4 linked regions of the Drosophila melanogaster genome follow. The gene in region 2 interacts genetically with the main gene of each other region. Each region holds a gene or a part of one and is shown on either strand. Other genes may lie near its edges. The genes, in order: sev, BEAF-32, Dref and Dll.

The links.
Region 1: of BEAF-32 (region 2) and sev, changing one suppresses a phenotype caused by changing the other (phenotypic suppression), as found in Drosophila melanogaster (one study listed by BioGRID).
Region 3: of BEAF-32 (region 2) and Dref, changing one suppresses a phenotype caused by changing the other (phenotypic suppression), as found in Drosophila melanogaster (one study listed by BioGRID).
Region 4: of BEAF-32 (region 2) and Dll, changing one enhances a phenotype caused by changing the other (phenotypic enhancement), as found in Drosophila melanogaster (one study listed by BioGRID).

The regions. Positions count from the first base shown.
Region 1 is NC_004354.4:11,083,282-11,088,152, forward strand, and holds the start of sev (sevenless), read right to left. Parts: upstream 3,019-4,871; 5' UTR 2,915-3,018; intron 967-2,914; 5' UTR 845-966; coding exon 164-844; intron 1-163. UniProt on the Drosophila melanogaster protein: Receptor for an extracellular signal required to instruct a cell to differentiate into an R7 photoreceptor. The ligand for sev is the boss (bride of sevenless) protein on the surface of the neighboring R8 cell.
Region 2 is NT_033778.4:14,768,646-14,773,171, forward strand, and holds BEAF-32 (boundary element-associated factor of 32kD), read left to right. Parts: upstream 1-1,823; 5' UTR 1,824-1,940; coding exon 1,941-2,184; exon of another isoform or gene 2,185-2,756; coding exon of another isoform or gene 2,757-2,997; intron 2,998-3,154; coding exon 3,155-3,762; 3' UTR 3,763-3,985; downstream 3,986-4,526.
Region 3 is NT_033779.5:9,963,642-9,969,032, reverse strand, and holds Dref (DNA replication-related element factor), read left to right. Parts: upstream 1-1,803; 5' UTR 1,804-2,147; coding exon 2,148-3,273; intron 3,274-3,364; coding exon 3,365-3,657; intron 3,658-3,717; coding exon 3,718-4,105; intron 4,106-4,165; coding exon 4,166-4,488; 3' UTR 4,489-4,886; downstream 4,887-5,391. Other genes in the region: RpL13 (ribosomal protein L13), read right to left, coding at 612-716, 786-1,094, 1,156-1,398.
Region 4 is NT_033778.4:24,813,218-24,817,821, forward strand, and holds the start of Dll (Distal-less), read left to right. Parts: upstream 1-1,604; 5' UTR 1,605-2,219; coding exon 2,220-2,350; intron 2,351-4,376; coding exon 4,377-4,552; intron 4,553-4,604. UniProt on the Drosophila melanogaster protein: Transcription factor that plays a role in larval and adult appendage development. Specifies the identity of ventral appendages (including legs and antennae) and suppresses dorsal appendage development. Involved in patterning the distal-proximal limb axis.

The sequences.
Region 1 (4,871 bases), on a different chromosome or scaffold from region 2:
CGCTTTACCCTTTTTTTTCTTTGCTTTGCCCTGGGGAAAGTCATGTTTTATGCATGTTTTATGCATGTTTTATGCTCTTTTGACACCATCACGAAATGTGCATTATCACAATGTATGTAAATACAATATAAAACTTAGGTAATGTTAGAAATCTAGAACTCACCTCAACAATGCAGCGCTGCACACAATCCCTGGTCACGCGTTCCAGGACCATTCGCTCGTCGACGCCATGCTGTTCCTCCGAAGGATCACGATCCCGATCTCGATCATCTGGATGATGGGCCATCGTTGACTGTGGCCTGCTGCTGATGGCGATGCCCTCGACAATGCTTGGCGGAGCTGCGGCGGCGTGCTTGTGCCAGATGGCCACCTTCTCGACCACATCGCTGTCCAGCTTGGGACGCAGCAGGCGCATTTGGTCTTTGGAGACGGGTTCGGGACTCTGGTGCACCGTATAGTTGTGCGATCGGCAGACATCGCAGCAGATCGAGAGTAGAATGAGCAGGAGAAGATTGATGATCAGTATGGTGGATATGCCGCCATGGCCATCCTGGCCACTGGCCAATTGGCGGCCTAAGCGAGCCAATTGCTGACGTAGATCGAAGGAGCTGCTCTGCTGGCGGACCACAATCTTGCTGGGTGAGGCATTCTGGGAGTTCGACGAGGAGGAGGAGGTGCCAGGTGCCTGCTGATTGATGTGGGTGGTGGTCATCTTGGTATTCACATTCACCGCGATCTTCACATTGAAGCTGATGTTCAATCTCTTTGTGGGCGCCGCACCCTTCGCCTGTTTGTCCTGCTCATCCGACTGGTGGTCTACATTTTGTTGCCAAAACATAGTCATCGAGGCACTCGATCTTCACCCCGAGTTCGCGATTTGTGGCGTTCGATTCCTATTTCACTCGATAATCGTTGTTTGCTTTGGCTGAATTAACATTTTAGTGCCGCATTTGACTGAAAACGAAACTGAAACACACAACACAGTGACCACCGCAGTGTAAATCAAAAGAGAAATAGAAAGAGAGGGGTGAATTTGAACAACGCACAAATAAAAATCAGATTTCAAATAGCAGAGTCAAAAAACCAATTCAATTGGAAATTTTAAGTACACAAACTAATTTCCATTTTATGCAAATTCGAGAAGCAGCAAACGAGGCAGTTACAAAAAATTAAATGCAAGTGATATTTTACGGATACCCTTTACTCAACATTATGTCATATAATGTTAAAATATATGAATACATTTTTATATAATTTATTTAGCGAATTTGAGAAATGAGTCTCGTTAACTTTCCATTAAACAGAATGACTTATTTCTTGTACTTCAATTCATTGCAGTTGCAATTTAAAGGCATAAAAAAAGCTGCTAAAAGGCCCGAACCTAGTAATTTACAAATATTTGCAGTATATCAGCAAGCCAAGTTTTGTCTAATTAATAGATACTCCAATCACTGTATTTACAAAGTGGCAGTTCTGCCCTTGCAAAATGCTATATTACTATCATTTTTGTCAAACCGTCAATTATCATGAGTTTTCCGGATTATTACTCAATTTAGTGTAACAAGCATAAACAATTTACATGTATAGTTGATTAATAGCTGTACCAATAGCATTAAATGATATTTGCATATTTGAAAATTTGATGTATATAATATATTTGATATATTTGATATATATTTGATATATTTGGAAAATAATTAATAAAAATAAGTAGGCAAGTGAATATACCCCAAGAAAAAGCTTAACTACATTGCATTCTACTTATTTCAGATGCAGCTCAAAGGTTCAACGCACATTGCCGGCGAGATAAACAGGGTAAACACAAACACACACACACACAATCTAAGTCCGGATCGATAAGCCAAAATCCCAATGATCTCCGTAACTGGTTTGGCCAGCTTCCACCGCCCAACTCATCCAAATGTCGCCGGGATTTCGATTAGAGGACATGGATGGTCCATGCTCTCATGGTCCATGGTCCAATTAATATGGCGTCTGCATAATCAGCTAGCCAAGCGACAAGTTTCAATTAACATGGCGTAATGCATGGCCAATAAGTCACGCCCCCTTCGACCGACCACAGCAAAAACAACAACAACAACAACAACAACAACAACAATAGCGAACGGGAAGTGGCCATAACAAATTTATCCTCATTAAGATGCAAACACATTCGACGGACGGAGAATAATCGAGCGGAGTCGCACTTTCAAAAACGGAAATCCCTTTTGTCCGCAAGTTCAGCAAAACCATAGATATACATATATATATGTATATATATATATATGTATATATAATAGTTAATTGCACTTTAATTTCATATTTACCAGCAACAACAACAGCACAGCAGCACGGAAAATGTTAATTAAATCGCCCGATGAGCAGACTAGACCGAACAAATATATATATGTATAAACAAAATGAAACAGAAAAACCGAAAATAAATTGAAATTCAAATTGAATAAACCGCGCGAAATAGTGAAAACACGAAAGATCACAGCGGGATTAATTGCATTAAAGTTATTCAGAGAATATTATGCAAAAGCTGCCGGCCAGCGTTTTGCATTAATTAGTCGAAGGTATGTATGCTATAGTATATATATATACATATTTGTACAATCAGAAAGTCAAAACCGATGGAGCCTTAAACTCTCACCCACATTTCGCTCGAATCGCCGCTGTTGAAGTTGTTAAGCGCTGTTCACGCGCTTTAATTCAATTTATTGTTGATTTGAGCGGCTTAATTGCATTTTATTGTTGCAGTTGCGGCCCCAACTGAAAAGCAACTCCACACACACACACATAGGAACACTTAGTGCACGCGAAAAAAAAAGGGTATTAAAAGAGCCGAAATTCATGCAAACACACACATACGCGCACGGATGTATCTTGTATCTTTGAGAACGCAACTCACTCGACAAAATGTCACAGATATCTGGATGTGGATCTGAATCTGGATCTGGATGTGCGATTCCCGAAGCGTTACGTAGTGCGCAGTGGCGCGATCGCAGCAGAACTGATTTGCCGGCGAGCGGCGGCTTTTTAACCAAGCCCCAAGCTCCAAGTCCAAGTCCAACCCCCCAGCTGGAGAACTTGAGCACGGAACTGAAACCGAACCGAAGCGATGCGATGCGATACGATACCATACGATACCATACGATACCATACGATGCGATGAACGATGAGTGACGAAGCGCACCGCAACCGAACCGAACTGAACCGAACCGATCTTAAATGACCATTGATCTTCTTTTTCGTTGACGCAGCAACTATGACGTCATTGGCAGGGCAACCCCTAAACTGGATATCATGGGTAGATAGCCCACCGCGCTCCTCTTTCCATGGGTCAAAGCTCAACTCAATCGGTTGATCGCAGATCGCAAGCAGGCCGCCAGATATTTAAGTTCTTATAGATACATAGATAGATAGATGTATTTTCCATCTCAAGAAACCAATGCCACCTCAAGAGTATCTATCTAAAATATAATCTTAATAAAAACATGATCTTAACATTGTGCATCTAGTTGATTTGATGATTTTCGGTTTTTAATAAGCTTCCGACTTACATAGTAACATCTTTGTATCATTAAAATTAAGGTAATGGGCCGAGGCTATGTAAAATGTATATAATTATTAAATTATAGTACTTATTTTTGAGCTAGACTTATTAAGACTAAATATATTGAAAAGCTTACATCCAAAGAGGGTTAAATTTCAACTTCTTGCAATGGAAAAAAACTTTATTCGTTTACAAATGTTAACAGAAATAATTTAAAATACAACTCAATTTACTCTAAACATCGTCACATGAATAGCGCAAATCAACGCGCTTTTTCGCCAACAAATAAACGTGGCAGAAAATTTGTTTAAATCGTTTAGCTGACTCACTCTTTACATTTAGCTAAGCATTAACAGCACACCTAAATTGATTATTAAACTAATTGATCGCAAGCAGCAGTAAACGCTTGAAAATAATTGAATTCAATAGGGAACTAGCCCACACAATCAGAAAATAAAGTCATCAATTGGGGTGAATAGAAGTGTATTTCCATGAAAAGTAAACGAGATGTGGAAAGTCATAGAAATTTCATTAAAAATTTTCTATCAAACTACAAAATATCATATTTCCATAACTTTTTAACCGAGAAATATGAAGAAAACAAGTTAAGCTATTAATTTCATTGATTTACACAAACATTTAGGTATTTTTTTTTTACTCTGTAGAATCAAAAACTCGCAAGCTAAGAAATATGCAATATTTTAAAGCATTTTCCGAGCATTTGAAGCACACAAGAGTAGGCAATTTTCCGGTTACACATGACTCGTGACTCATACAACTGACACTGCGGGATGAAAAATTGAGCGGCGAGTGAAAGGCTTGCGTGACAGCTTCCGTTTCCGGTTCCGCCATCAAGTCCAAGTATCCCTTTCGCTTATGGATTTTTTGGCCAACGGAAAGGATGTGCCGCAGACATCCAAACTGCACTCGTGCGCACAATTTCTTGGCCCGAATAATCTGTGGAAATCCAATCTCCCGCCTGGGATCATCGAATTCGTACTAATCGTTTGAAATATTCTGGAATTGATTAGACGGCAAACTTATTACACACACTTGACGGAAGATGCGGCTTATCAACCCGAGCGATTCTCAATGGATTCGCCGGCGGACTAGGTGCTACATACCTATTTCACAGACTGTCACGTGAAAATCAGATTTTCGCATTTTTTTCGAAAAAAAAAGGGACAACCCCGGAAATTCACCTTCTGATTGACGTATTGTGCACATTTTGCATGCAAACTCTTTTCAATCTTGAACTGTAGTGAAATTTGCAATTTTGTAGCACTACAAATTGGTCTTGCATAAAAATATT
Region 2 (4,526 bases):
CTATATAGTTAGTTTTCTTATTTATTTAGCTTTTTTGAACTACCATTTGCTGCGAGCACTACTTTTTTATTAACATAAAATTTGCACCAACGAATCAATCGCGCTCGCTCTCGCACTCTCCGTCACTCTATCTCCCTCTCGCACGCGCTCTCCGCAGCTTGCGCAGAAAGTTTTTTGGGCGATTTCTCCATGTGTGTATATGCTGCTCTGCTTGCTGTTGCTGCCTTTACATATTTCATATTTACATACGCCTATACATACTGCAGCACAGCTATAATTTTTCACCGATTTTCCCAACCGATATGTTTAATTGCCAACCGCAGCGGATTTCCAACTATATTTTCTTCTTATTGTTTTCGCTTTTCACTGGGCTTACGTATGTATGCATGTGCGTGAATTGGAGTACTTCTTTTTAGTAACAGTAAAAATGAGAGGGCGAGAAAGAGAGAGCACTGGATGAGCTCGTTTTTCATTATTTCGCATTTAAAATGTGTAACTCTGTCTTTTAATTCATTTATTTAACAACGCGCACACATACACAAAAACACACACACACACAAAGCAGGAGCAGACGCAACAAAATGTAGCATTTTTCTTTGTATTAATTTTGCACTGTTTTAAATGACATTTACTTTTGCTGCTTGTTCGCAAATTTTTTTGCGTATATTTGTGCTTTTTCCGATTGGGCGTTTTTTTACAATTAAGCAGATATATTCACAACAATTGACATTTCCAAAAACAAACGACGGCGACGGCGAAAAAATTAAGAGACAGTGTGACCGTGGAGCAATCCGATAAATATACTCTCTGTGCCAACTCTAAAACTCCACATAAAATACCAACGTATATAAATGCATATAACGAAAATATTAGCTTTTTGAATTTGCAACTCTGGGGTTTTAATTTATGGCGGATTTCTTGAAAACGGTAATATTGACAAAACTTTAAATGTTCGTATTGTTTTCTTTATTCAAAATTTTAATTTTTCAAATTTTTTTGTGTATCGACATTGTGGATCATTAATAGTTTTAAATTAACAGGAATTCTAGGAAAACCTACAATTTGGTAAGCTAGAGCTAAGAATCGATTCTTTTATTCATATTGGTTGGGCAACATCTTTCGGTGCAGCTAATCCACATGCAGGCATCTGTATTGCCTGGTAGCCTTGAATTTCTTTGATAATCTTATCCTCCTGGCTGTCCAAGGCGACAAAGACCAAGAAGAAATCGTAGTGCGTTTCGATGTCCCGCGCACTAACCACGACGCACCAATCCATCAGGGCCTCGGTTATCTTATCTGTAGCCTTGTCCGCACTGGAAACGTCCGGATTCCAGTGGGAATCCTCTTCATCCTCTGATGTTGGATATATGACATAGGTTCTGTAGCACTTGTGCCGCTCCATGTGTGAAGTGCATCCATGTTATTTGACCAAGCTCGATTCTGGAGAAGACATTCCAGACTTTGCCGCGACTGCGCTTCTTGTTGAATTGCCGGACTCCGGCGTTCAATTGGGCCTTGATATTGTCCTGGCTGTAGGAAAGCCATCGAAACTTTACCCATTTAAATAAAAAGATTCTACTGATTCAATATACAATAGTCAACTCAATTGAGTTTATCGATAGACTGTTTACTATGGGTAATCGGAATCGCTAGTCATATGAGAATTTTAGGTTTTAAACTAAAAGAAAATATTCAAAAAACATAAGAAACAAATAAAATTCAAAAAAAATTAAACTTACAATCAAGTTCTTTTTAAGAAAATCAGTGGCTGTTTACACCACCTTACACTTTTCGCACCGTGCTAGCGCTTGTTTACCAACACAGTTTTGTGCGTGACTGAATTTTCGTGAGTTTGTATTTGTGTACATTTTGTAATTTGGGTTTGTTTTCTTCTTGGCAAACCGAATTACCACCGCAAATCGAACAACCGATACACCACGATGCATGTTGAAAAGAAATCAGAGCTTCGTAGCCTACTAAAATCCGGGGACAAGCGTTGCAAACTCGTTGAGCCCAGGAACACCAAAAGCTGCGTCTGGAGGTTTTTCAATCTCGTCCAGTGCGACGACCACATAGAGCCGTACGCCTGCTGCAAAACCTGTGGCGATCTGTTATCCTACAGCGGCAAAACTGGAACCGGATCCCTGCTACGGCACCGATGTCTCCACTCCAGCAGCAGTAACGGTAAGTTCGGGATCCGAAATCTCACGCACGCCCTTCACAATCGAAATCCACTGCCACGCGTGCTCCGTGCCGTAGAAACCGAGCACGGATCAGTGCCCGATGCCATCGCGATAAATCCACGGGTCATCGGTACAGGCTCCTCCACTTTGGCGCGGAAAAAGTAGAAACTCTAGTTATAGCAAGGCAGTAAATCGTCTTGAAAAAAAAAACTATAGATAAAAATAGTGCAGGATAGGTACAGAATTTTCCCCAACCAGTGGTTGTGCTTGTAAATAGTTTATAAACCTATTGTATATTATCTAAAATGCTATTAAAAAATCAGCTAAAAAATATTGTTATGTTAAAAGTATTTTTATGATTTTGCGCTGTTGTAAAGTATGTAAACATTCTCTTATTTTCGTTTTTCACCTCTGTTTGCCGTTGCCTTTGTTTCCACTCTTATGTTCATGCGTTTTACAACACTGCAACGGCACTTGACAACACTGACTACAGCAACGCCAATATCGCAATAAATAAATTTGTGGAGAAAAATCACTTTTGACGTACTAATTACCTAGAGAAAAGTATTAAAAATGCCCAAGGGTCGTGTTAGCAATGTGTGGCAGCACTACGATATTAACGAGGAGTGCGAAAACTTTGCGATATGCCGTTATTGCGGCAACAATATATCGCGTGGTGGCATGGCCAGCAATTTGAAGGGCAACAATACGACCAATTTGTGGACGCATCTGCGGCACAAGCACAGGGACGAGGTGCTGGTCAGTCCGGTGCAGCAACGTCCCCAGGCCCGGATGATCCCAATCATCAAGAAAGGTAATTCCAGCGAAGTTCGTATGGCGGGCTATCGACCCTTGGGTCGGCGGGAAACTATCGCCGGCGCCCATCTCTGGGTTATGATATTTTTGTTATTATCCGGTAGCTGTACCAATATGTATCGTATTAACCATCGCTTCCATCCTTTGCATTGCAGACAAAACCGTGCGGATTACCAAGGCCAAGACGCTGAGGGAGCCGCTGCGTGTGGCCAAGCCGAAGATCGAGTCGAACGTCGCCAATTATCTGGGCGAGGCGGGCGCCCTGCCGCAAAAGTGGGAGGAGTACGAGCAGAACGATGAGATTAGCGAGGACATTAAGGACATCATATACAGCGAGGATCCACTGTGCTATAGTCCTATACACGTGATGGATGATGAGGGCCTGGATCAGCCTGAGAAGCAAGTGACCGTGCTAACCCATTCGACTTCACCAGCCGGTGGAAGTAGCAGGCCCATCGGTGTTGGTTCGGGCGTACAGGCTACTGTGGTGGCCTCCACGTCCTCCAGCAGCAGCTCGGCCAAGCAGCTGAAGAACAACCTGGAGACGTCCATCGAACGGCTGACCGCTGTCAGCGAACAGCTCAGCTACATCATACAACAGAATCACGAGGAGCTCACCAAGGACGACGACTACTATTTTGCACTTAGCTTGGTGCCCGCAATGCGCCACCTTTCGCTCAGTCGGAAGATGTACGTGCGGTCCAAGATCCAGGATATACTGTTCAAGGAAAGTGAGGACTCAACGCTTGCCAAGGATGAGTAGGCGGTCCATTATATACATTTACCCAGAGGAATAATAAAACGAGGAACGAAGGAAACCATATGGTAAATGGGCAAATCAGCGTGTCGTAATCTAGGTTAATAATTATACATATGTTATGTATTCATTTAAATTATGCTCTTTTATCGATTGAAAATACTTACTTTGATTGTATATTTCCCAATTATATTTTACTTAAAACTCAAATAAAGCACTACAATAAATTAAGGAAAAGGCGATTTCATGGTGTATTACGTTTATTTTAAATAAATTTTATTTAAATAACTTGTTAAGATTTACAAAACAGAGAGCGTTGCTAGATTGTTATTATAAATTATTGTATTGTAATTTACAAATCGATTTTGCGGCTAAGTTCTGCTGTTTATGCGTTTCTTATAGAGATATGCTTGTATTGGCCGCTCCCCAATTGCGTAGCCAGCCATTTCGTTTTTCTCTTCAATATTTTGTAGATCTAGGAGTGCAAGCGTACATTATCATACAATACGAATACAAATTACAGTAAAACTCCTACAAATCGAGCAATAAACAATAAACTTAAGCCTATATATATATATATATAGTATGCTAGGCTTAGATTCTAGTCAACAAATCGGTAGTTTATCAAACACTGACTTGAATAGCGAAATGTATGTATGTCTAATTTGATGATTTGGTTGTTGATATAGGTAAGTGGTTCGCTCAAAATGAATTTTGAATTGTGGATATGATGGGCATTATACAAATATGTTCGCTTAGGGTGGATATTA
Region 3 (5,391 bases), on a different chromosome or scaffold from region 2:
CGATAGTGAAGCCCTTCACTCACTCAGCTTATCAATTTTAAACTCAATATTTTCAGATATAGTGAAACGCGCATATGTACATACATATGTACATAGGCATAAATACCTTAAAAGGTATTGCAAATATATTACTGCAGAGATAAAATACAGTTGTTTAGTTTAATCTTTACCCTACACCATTCTAATGAAAAATTCAATATATTGTAATTAACATTTCAACAAAAGATATTTAAAAAAATAAGAAACGTAGCTTCTGCAACCTTTTCGTTTGCTCAAGATGCGTATCCTAAGAAAATCTTCTATATGGCACCACAGATTTAACTTTTTAATAATTTAACCCAAATAAATTAAGAAGCTGGTAAAAATAAGAAAAAATAAAAAAGTAATGGCAAGCAACATACGTTTCTTTTTTTGGATGCAGCAGCTAAAAACAAACGCGCCAGTTTGAATTCAACGCGCCAAAGCTACTTATCGATAGCAACACGGGTTATCGATAAGTCTTACGCCAGACGCGACAATAACAACAATGTGCACAAATATTCACGTTTAAGAAAAACTAAGATTTTATTCTGGTTGATGTTGTAGACAGAACGATCAGGTTAAGATGTGGTTTACTTCTTGGCCTTCTTGGGGTCTCCCTTGGCGGCGTCCTCGCTCTCAGCGGCCTCCTTGGCGCGCTTGGCGCGGATTCCGACCAAACGGGCATCAGTGCGAGCCTGCAAATATAGTTTGGCGGCGAATAAGTATAACGAGCTACCGGCGGATCACGAAACCAAAAAACTTACCTTGCGCAGCGTGGCGAAGGCCTTGAACTTCTTCTCATCCTTGGTCACCTCACGGAACTCGACCACGGCGGGCTGCTCATTTTTGATGGGCAGGACGGGTCCCTTAAGCTGGGTAGCCAGCTTGCACTCCTCCAGAGAGGACTCGCCGGCGCGGATCTTCTTCTCGTTGATGGGGAACAGGATCAACTTGCTGCGGTACTCCTTGAGGCGCTGGATGTTACGCTGGCGGGACTCCAGGGATTTGTTCTTGCGCCTCCTGTCGACGGCAATGCCGATGGTCTTGGCGAAGTTGGCGCCAATGCCGGCACCCTGTAAACAGAGATTTTGTTAGTGGCCAATGGATTCCGATAATGTTTTCGGCTTCACTTACCTTCAGCTCCTCCAGGGTGAAACCACGGCCGGCACGCAGCTTGGTGTGGTAGCGGATGGTGGGGCAGCGAACCACAGGGCGCAGGGCACCGCTGGCTGGGCGGGGGAAGACGGCCTTAGCCTTCTTGACGCGGTTCGCATGCCTGCGGACCTTGCGGGCCGGCTGGTTGAACCAGGTCTTCACATGCCGCTGCCACCACTTGTGGTAGTGCTGATTCGGAATCATATTGTTACCCTTACCCATCTTGGCGGTTTAGATTGGCTGCAACGAGGGCAAAAACACAATAATAACATCAATGTCTCTTTGTAAACTCGTATATATGGGATAACCAAGCTGCAGGCCCACGTGGCTGGCGAATTTCGATTTGTTTAAGCCGTAATTCCGAGCACTTCTTCATGCCTACGGGTGTCAATGATGCCCACTTGTGTCCTCCACACTTGGCACACTCGATGGCTCGATTTGCATTTCGTTTATCTTTTATTTTCATTGAATTTCGTGACGCTCACGAAATTTACACACCTTTTCTTCCCAACAACGAATTAAAAAGGAAATCGCAACCAACTTCACGTCGTAGGCCAAGCGAAAATTTCCCTAGAGAAATTCCCCCGGCCGAGCGAGAAATTTCCCCAGCTATCGATTGGTGATGCAATCAGTGTTAGCGAGAATACTCAACAAATCGCATTTTTTACGACAGTCAGACGTATTGAAATTAAAAAGCGGTGACTCTCATATTTGAGCAGTCTGTAAAAATAATCTCAAATAAATGAGAGTGCATTTGAAGCATTTAGCAACGTTTTATTGCCTTATCGATTGACGGCGTGTCGCGTGGCAACTCTGAACTGTACTTCTGATACAGATAAAAAACTATTGACTATTGAACCGTCTATCTATAATCGAGAAATTGCGCGCTAATACACGCATTGGGCACAGCAATCGTTGTCGAATCTAATTCAAAACAAACAAGAAGATCCCAATCCCCCACAGAAGACAAGATGAGCGAAGGGGTACCAGCGTCGCCCGTGGCCATTGGCGAACTCAAGTACGAGGATGTGTCGCAGCTAAATTTTTCCAAACTGTACTCGCCCAAGATGAAAAGCGTATACTGGCGCTACTTTGGATTCCCCTCGAACGACAATAATGAGGTGATTACCAAACAGAATGTGGTCTGCATTAAGTGTCACAAGGTGCTGACCAACCATGGCAACACCACCAATTTGCGTGCGCATCTCCAGCACCGACACAAGGATCTGTTCAAGGAGCTGTGCCAGGAGCACGACATCCATGTGCCGCCGCGCAAGACGCCGCGTAATGTATCCCATCCACCGCTGTCCAAGCGGAATGTTTCCTCGCGGCGGGTCAAACTGGAGTTCATTAATAACCGGAACCACGATAACGCTTCCGATGATGAACTGGACGAAGCAGCCGTGGCAACTGCGGCCATGCAGGCGGAGGAGGACGCCTCCTCGCAAACCATGCTGTACGAGACCATGGTGCCCTTCACCTACGACGAGGCCGAAAATCTGGTAGAGGAGGAGGAGCGCCTAGTTATGGAACCAAAGTACGGACGCAAACGCAAAGTGGCCACTCCATCGAGTGCCCTGATGCACGGGCGTGTCATCAAGCACGAGGAAGGCGGCTATGCCGCCGTGGCGAACATCGCCAATCTGGCCGAAGCCCTTACGGACATTGTGATTAAGGATTTGCGCAATGTGGATTCTCTGTACGATGCCGGTTTTGGTGAATTCCTGCGTCAAGTCCTAGGCAATTCGGCAGCCATGCCCGAGCCACACAAGATCGACTCTTTGATCAATGAGATGCACGCCTCCAAGTTTCTGGAGATTGGCGAAATCACGCGCGATTTCACCTCCGAGAAGCCCTTCTCTCTCGCCTTTGAGATGTGGGTGAATGTTGAACAGCGGCGCTTCCTTAGCATCTTCCATCACTTTCTGGACGAGGAGACGCACTCAGTTCGCGGTATGCTGTATGCCACCGTGGAGTACAACGACTACATCGTCTTTGACGATCTGCTGACCGACTTCTATTTGGCCAATTGCACACTGGCCATCATAAACTACGACGAGGAAGAGGACCTTTTGCACACCTATCTGCGAGAGAAAAGTGAGTGCATTAGCAAGTCAGAATTATTTACCTTATATAGAATATATATCAAATATTGGACTTCCTAATGAATATGAATCTTTTATTGCAGATATACCCATTTCGCTGTGCTACGTTTCGGTAATTGACAAATGTTTGCGTCGTGTGTTTGAGATCGAAGAGGTGGCCACTTTATTGGAGCAGGTGAAGGACCTAATGCAGCGTCATTCAACGGAGATTGCCTCCAAGGTGTCCGAGGTGCCCATGCCCACGTACAACGAGCACTTCCCCTGGACACTGTACGAAACATTGAAGTTCTTTGCCGAGTCCATATCTTGGTCCGAGGACATGGATCACCTGGTTATATCAGCCAAGACGGTGACGGAGGCCCTGAGTGCTCTGGTGGTAAGCCATCAAGCTAAATGAGACGTTTAAGCAGTTTTCTTATTGTGTGAAATCTTTTAGATTGCTTTGGACACGCTGCGTGGCGAAGACATTCCCTTGTGTAGCATGCTTTCGCCAATCACTTCAAAGATTCTTATCAAGAAGTTGGGCATCGCCGAGCAGGACGATCCCCTAATGATGAATTTGAAGCGGACCATTTCCAGTGTCCTCCAGGCGCACGTTATATCCAATGACAATCTGACCGCTGCTGCATTGTTGGACCCACGCTTCCACCGCCTGACCACCATTGACAACCTAGAGCGAACCGTTCGTATGCTGACCCATAAGTATAACATTAACTTTGGTGGAGTGGGCGAAGGGGAATCCAACGAAGTGGCAGCTACCTCCAGCGTGGTGGCCATTAAGTCAGAACCAAGAGTAGTGGACGGCAGTGCACCAAAGAAGTTGGGTAAGTGCATCGAACTAAATCGATTATCATAAACCATGGACTAAACGAAAATGCCCGTAGGTCTGAAACTGCTGTTTGACAGTAACGAGATACCAAATCCTCCGAAGCGAGATGCGGACAGCAGCGTGGAGTCCGATCTTAAGCGATATCGCAACGAGGTGGTCGTTCAGCTGGATGAGTCGCCCATCGAGTGGTGGCTCAAGATGGGACACATTTATGGAACGCTCCGCGATTTGGCCAGCCTGTACCATAGTGTGCCCGGCGTGGTGACGCTCAGCTTCAAGAAGGCGCTGAGAGACCAAATATACGACTTCAACAAGCGATTCATGCTCACCGGTAGTCACATCGACGCCATCCTCTTTCTTCATCATCACAACAATTAGTCTGCACTGGCGACTACTGTTTCTTATAATGCAAATACTTTTTAATTACTTTTAACGTAATCCGATCTTGTGTATATGAAAATGACTACCAGGGGCGAGGCAAATAGTAATAGCGATTCCGCAGTACTTTTAACCAAAAGACAGCCTTGGGACGTACACGGAACATCTTAAGTTATCGACGTATAAATGTTAAGGGAACATTTTGACATCATATATTCAAATCAAACAGATAATCTAAGAATATTTGTTTAATAAATCCATAACGAAAAAATATCACGCTTATCAAGCTCACTTGTAAATCCCCTTATATCCATTTCAAGAGAACTAATTAAATACTTAACTTAGTTGTACATAATTGATATTTTAATCTTATAAATAAATAAAATGCATCTAACTTTCGTGAATTGTTTTATTGAACTAACTAAAATTAGATATTTTACAATTAATTCAGTATTAAAAAAATTTCTGAACTACGAAACAATTAGTAGTCGGTTTGGAGTTAGCTACTTTATATATTTGACATATTTCTTTAATTTTCAAAATATGTTTTATTTTTTTACTCTGCAGCCCTCGAAATTTCCCTTTTTTAAATCATCGGAAAATTTTCATATTTTTCGTCTGCGACAAACAAAATCTAAATAATCTTCGACATTTGTTTTTTAATTAAGTTAATTTTTTTACTGATAGCTTTTAAACTTTAAAATAAAACAAATAGTAAAAATTTTAAATAATATAAAACCGGGAGGAAGTCTGTATTTTAGTCATTTCGGATTTCGCATTGGCTGGTCACACCAATTAGACGTAGGCACCCGACCCACGAACTGGATTCCTCACAAAAGAAGGGCACGAAAGCCGCGATATTACTGCCAATAGGACTGAAACCAATAGATCGAAGAACTTGCT
Region 4 (4,604 bases), about 10 Mb from region 2:
GGCTAGCCCGGGCTAATCATAATTTGCATTTAATAAATATTTCATTAAGTAATTGCAACAATTACGTGCATTTGCAGTGCTACCTTAAATTAGTGCAGCGCAGCCGACCAGGTCATAACTCGGAACGGCGGGCTCCACAGCCGATCCGATCCGATCCAATCCGGACGAGGGGATTAGCATTTCAGTCGGATCAGGCGCTCAATTACCGCTGGATGCTCGATTTATATTTACTTTTATAAACAAACTTAATTCGATTTTTGTGGCACTCTGGTTCTGGTTAATAGCGCCGCTCCGACTCATGCATATGCATATTTTCCCACTTTCAGCGGAAATCCTTCTCAGGTGACAACTGCCTGCTGTTGGGAGAGGGGAAAGGGGTGGAATGGAGACCGCTTTGCCGCCGCTTCAACTGCCAGTTAGGCTAGGCGGACAAAGGTGGAAATTCCGCTGTTCTCTCCGCTCGGTGACTTTGTCTTGTGAATGAAAAAGTCCGCTCGAGCAAACGGTCCGTGTCGCTTGGCCCTAGCCACAAAGCGACATTATGTGGCCGAAAGGACGCCATTTTGAATTGGGCCTACTCGAGCTCTCTGCCCTCTCTCGAAACGCTCAAGGGGGCGTGGCGAGGGAGTTTCTGCTCTCAGCAGGGGGCGTGCTGGGTGCGCAGGTAGTATGTGTGTGTACGAGTGCGGCTGCGAGGGTGTGTGTGTGTGTGTTTGACAGGTGAGCAGGTTGGCCCGATAGACTGGTTTGTCGCTGCCAAAGGCGGCCACTAGGTGGCGCCACAAGTACCAACTCCAAGGAGGCTTTAAGACTCCCTAGAAAGGATTTTCAAATTAAAGGTTCCATTAGAAAATGATAGCAGACCTGTCATATATACCACGCTATGTTGTTTGTGTGCGTAGCGTTTTTTCCTTACAAGCAAGCCCACCGATTGTAAAACGTAAACAAATCATTAAGTTAATTCGTCTGTTGTCCGCAACTGTTGATTACCCGTGGAAATGCGTGTGCCACAGTTTCGATTGATCCGAAAATAAGACCCGAAAGGAGCAGCGGCTAAATAAGAAGACAAATTATAGGTTCAACAATCAATTTAATAATTGAGACCTTTGCATTTAATCAACATTATTTAAAACGTCAAAATATTTGCACTTTCCACGGGCAGTTCCCCCTGGAATTTGCATATACACGCCGTAAGTTCCCCAAATCCGTGGGGACGCGGGGCGACAGGCCACGCCTCAATCTCGATGCGGGCCCTAGACCTAGACAAAGTTGACGAGTTGAGCGGCACAAAAACGGGGTCCCAGAGCCCAGCCCCACCCCCGTGCACCCGGAACGGGGAAATTTATAGTATTGGTGCGGTTTCTGCACCACCATACAGAGACACCACCGAGAAAACCGGTTGCAAACCACCCGATTGGCGACGCTCGGCGAGAGTCACTGCCAGCGGCTTGGGCCTCAGCAGCCGTCCCGCTCCGACGCACGGCGATGGATGACATCTGCGCCGCTCGCACACCACTGCTACAGAGCGGCAAAGCGGCACGGCCGCAAAGCGACAGCGCAGCGAGTCGAAGTCTCGCGCAACCGCGCCGCGAAAACCTCACCTAGTCGTATACGCACTTTGTTCGTGTGCAGTCGTCGCCGCTGTTCTCGCCGTTGAATTGCCGTCGTCGATCCGTCGTAGCGTTTTGCGCCTTGCGTTTCTGCGTCGAGCTAAGTGATCCGTCGCGGACTATAAAGTGATTTGTAGTGATCTGATCTGATCTGATTTGATATGAATTGATTTGATTGATTCGCAAAACGGAGTTGAAAATCGTGAAAATCTACAAAGAATATGCACAGCCAGAAATCGAAGTGATACAAGAAAGCAATTTCGAGTGAGTTGAGTTGCTAACAAGTTGAGTGTCAGTGCTGAGAAAAGTGCCTCCTCGCCATCTGAAAGGATTTACGCGCTCAACAGTTCCGCCAAATCAAGTCGCCGAACTGAACTGAAGCCAAGACATTGTGTCCTACAAAAACCTTAGATACGCAAGCCACACACTCCTACTGTGCAAGTATAGCTGATCATTGCCATCGGATCTCTGAGAACTTCCTTCCCGCGCGCATCCCCCTGAACAGCCGTCAAAATTCTTGATAAAGTGGCCTCAATAGGCGCCAACACGCTCAATTTCACGGACCTAGGGAGCCCCTACGAGGGGCCTCCCAGCACCCCCCAGTCGGGCATGGACGCCCCCGACGCCCCGCACACGCCCAAGTACATGGACGGCGGGAACACGGCGGCCAGCGTCACGCCCGGCATTAACATCCCGGGAAAGTCCGCCTTCGTGGAGCTGCAGCAGCACGCCGCCGCCGGGTGAGTGTCCCCAAGATCAGTGGAGTGGAGTCACCGGGAGGATTGCAGAAAGTGTTTCGGCGAAAAGACTCGATCCCCTCCAGACTTCAGCCCTGCCAAAACCAAACCTATCGGAACTCAATCTCAATCTGTGCGGAGCAGTTGACACACCCGAGAAAAAAGGAGTTTGTGGCCAGGGCGTTCCCAAAACTCGAATATGAATCTTTTTAATGAATCTAAAGAGCGCTATACGTACCATAAAACCATTTGGTCTTTAAAATCATTTCATTCATTTCAAGGGAAAAAGTTAGTTGGCATAGGACTACAAGCTGCATAATTGCATAAATAGATAATATAGTACATTGACATTACAATAAACAAATTCAATTTTTAATAATAAATAACAGTTGGTAAAAGCAAGCAGTTAAATAAAGTCAGGTTAACTCAAGAGTATATTGTCTAAGTAGTTCATATAACTTTTTAGGGTCTTAATTACTGATTACATTACAATAGCCAATAGTCTTATTTCGATCGATACATAAATTTTACTATTAAAAAACTTGTATAATTATTAGTTGTCTTAAAAAATGAAAGCAACCAATTGTAGATTTATGAATTCGTCAATGTAATCCAAAGTTAAAAATTATTTTGACTTCCATAAAAATGTACTTCTAAAGTAACAAATGTAGTATAAATTCGAAATCACAATTTTAAATTTCAATTTGCCAATTCGCCATTTAGCCTTCTCTAGGCCCTCAGCCAAATCGACTAAGACTGAATCGATGAAAGTTGCCGTCAGCTTTCCATCTTTATGATACTATTTTCGGGATCGATTTCGCGTTGGGGTCTCGCTATACTATTAGTTTTGATTAAGAAAATCACTTCAGCTGCACTTTCCGGCTTACAGTTCATGCTGGTGCCTGGCTGGCCGGCAGCGGAAGCCAAAAATAAATTCAATTAAGTGTAGTTTACTCCCGGTCCGTGTTCTAAATAAGCGTCTGATCCGGAGGGTTCTGTTCCTATCCAACAACACGTTCCTCATGGGGTAGCAATAAGTCGGGCTCGGTGGTCTGTTTACTGTTACCGCTCACTCGGCGAACTGTTTGCAGCCGCAAATTGTTTTCCCAACGCACGATTCGATTTTTCATTATACATATTTTATTGCATTCTTGGTTTTGAGCCTTGCGGTTTCCACTGCTCTGTCATTTGTGCGTGTTGGGCTCTTGGGCTGGGACGGGACTTGGAATGCTTGGCTGCGCCGACCAGCCCTCGGGAGTTGTTCCTGGCCACGACTTTTCTCCGTCCCCGGAGTGGCTGCCATGTTGTTCGCTGTTCGCTGTCCGCTGTCCGTTGTCCGTTCTCCGTTGTCCGTTGGCCGCTGTCCGTTGCGGTTTCTGCTGCTTTCGGCCCGCTTCCGTTTCCGTGTTTGAGGGGCCAGGAGAGCATTGAATATTTCATGCAGTTCGCTCGGAACATAATGCATGGGAACTTGCTCAACTGTTTCGCCCGCAAAGTGTTAACAAAATATTTACCGCGAGCGAGCGGGACTGCAAACGGAACTGCGGACCAAACCGAAACTAAAACACAGCGACTCTGACACTCGTATTGATTTTTCTTTGATATATTAAGCCGCATCCAGTTCGGGCTTTGGATAGGTTTTGGTTTTGTTTTTGGTTTCGGTTCTGGTTTTTGTAAATGAAGTCATGGCAAAAATTTCCTTCCTCTCCGCCAGCCTAATTTTTTGTTGTGAGAGAAAAAGTTTTGGTTTCGACGCTTCTTGCATTAAACATGAAACATTTTGGGCCCACTTTTAGATATTTTCCCGACCGAACGCTCGTCCTATGCTCGGCGACGTTTGAATTTAATAGTGAATAGTGAAAAGTGTAGACAAAACACGCAAGTAGGAAAAGTTTTGTCCCCGGCACGATTCATTCACATTCACAGCCGGTGTACGCCACTTCCATTACTTCCACTACTTCTTCCACAACTGCCACAGCTATATTACAGCCCCGTATTGATTATTTTCCGTGCATTTGCGGCATTCCAGGTACGGCGGCATCCGGAGCACCTATCAGCATTTCGGACCGCAGGGCGGCCAGGATTCCGGCTTCCCCAGTCCGCGCAGCGCCCTCGGCTACCCGTTCCCGCCAATGCACCAGAACTCCTACTCCGGCTACCATCTGGGCAGCTACGCCCCGCCCTGCGCCAGTCCACCGAAGGATGGTAAGTACTGCTCCTCCTTATCCGATCAGTCTCAGGCCCAATCCCAGTCCCA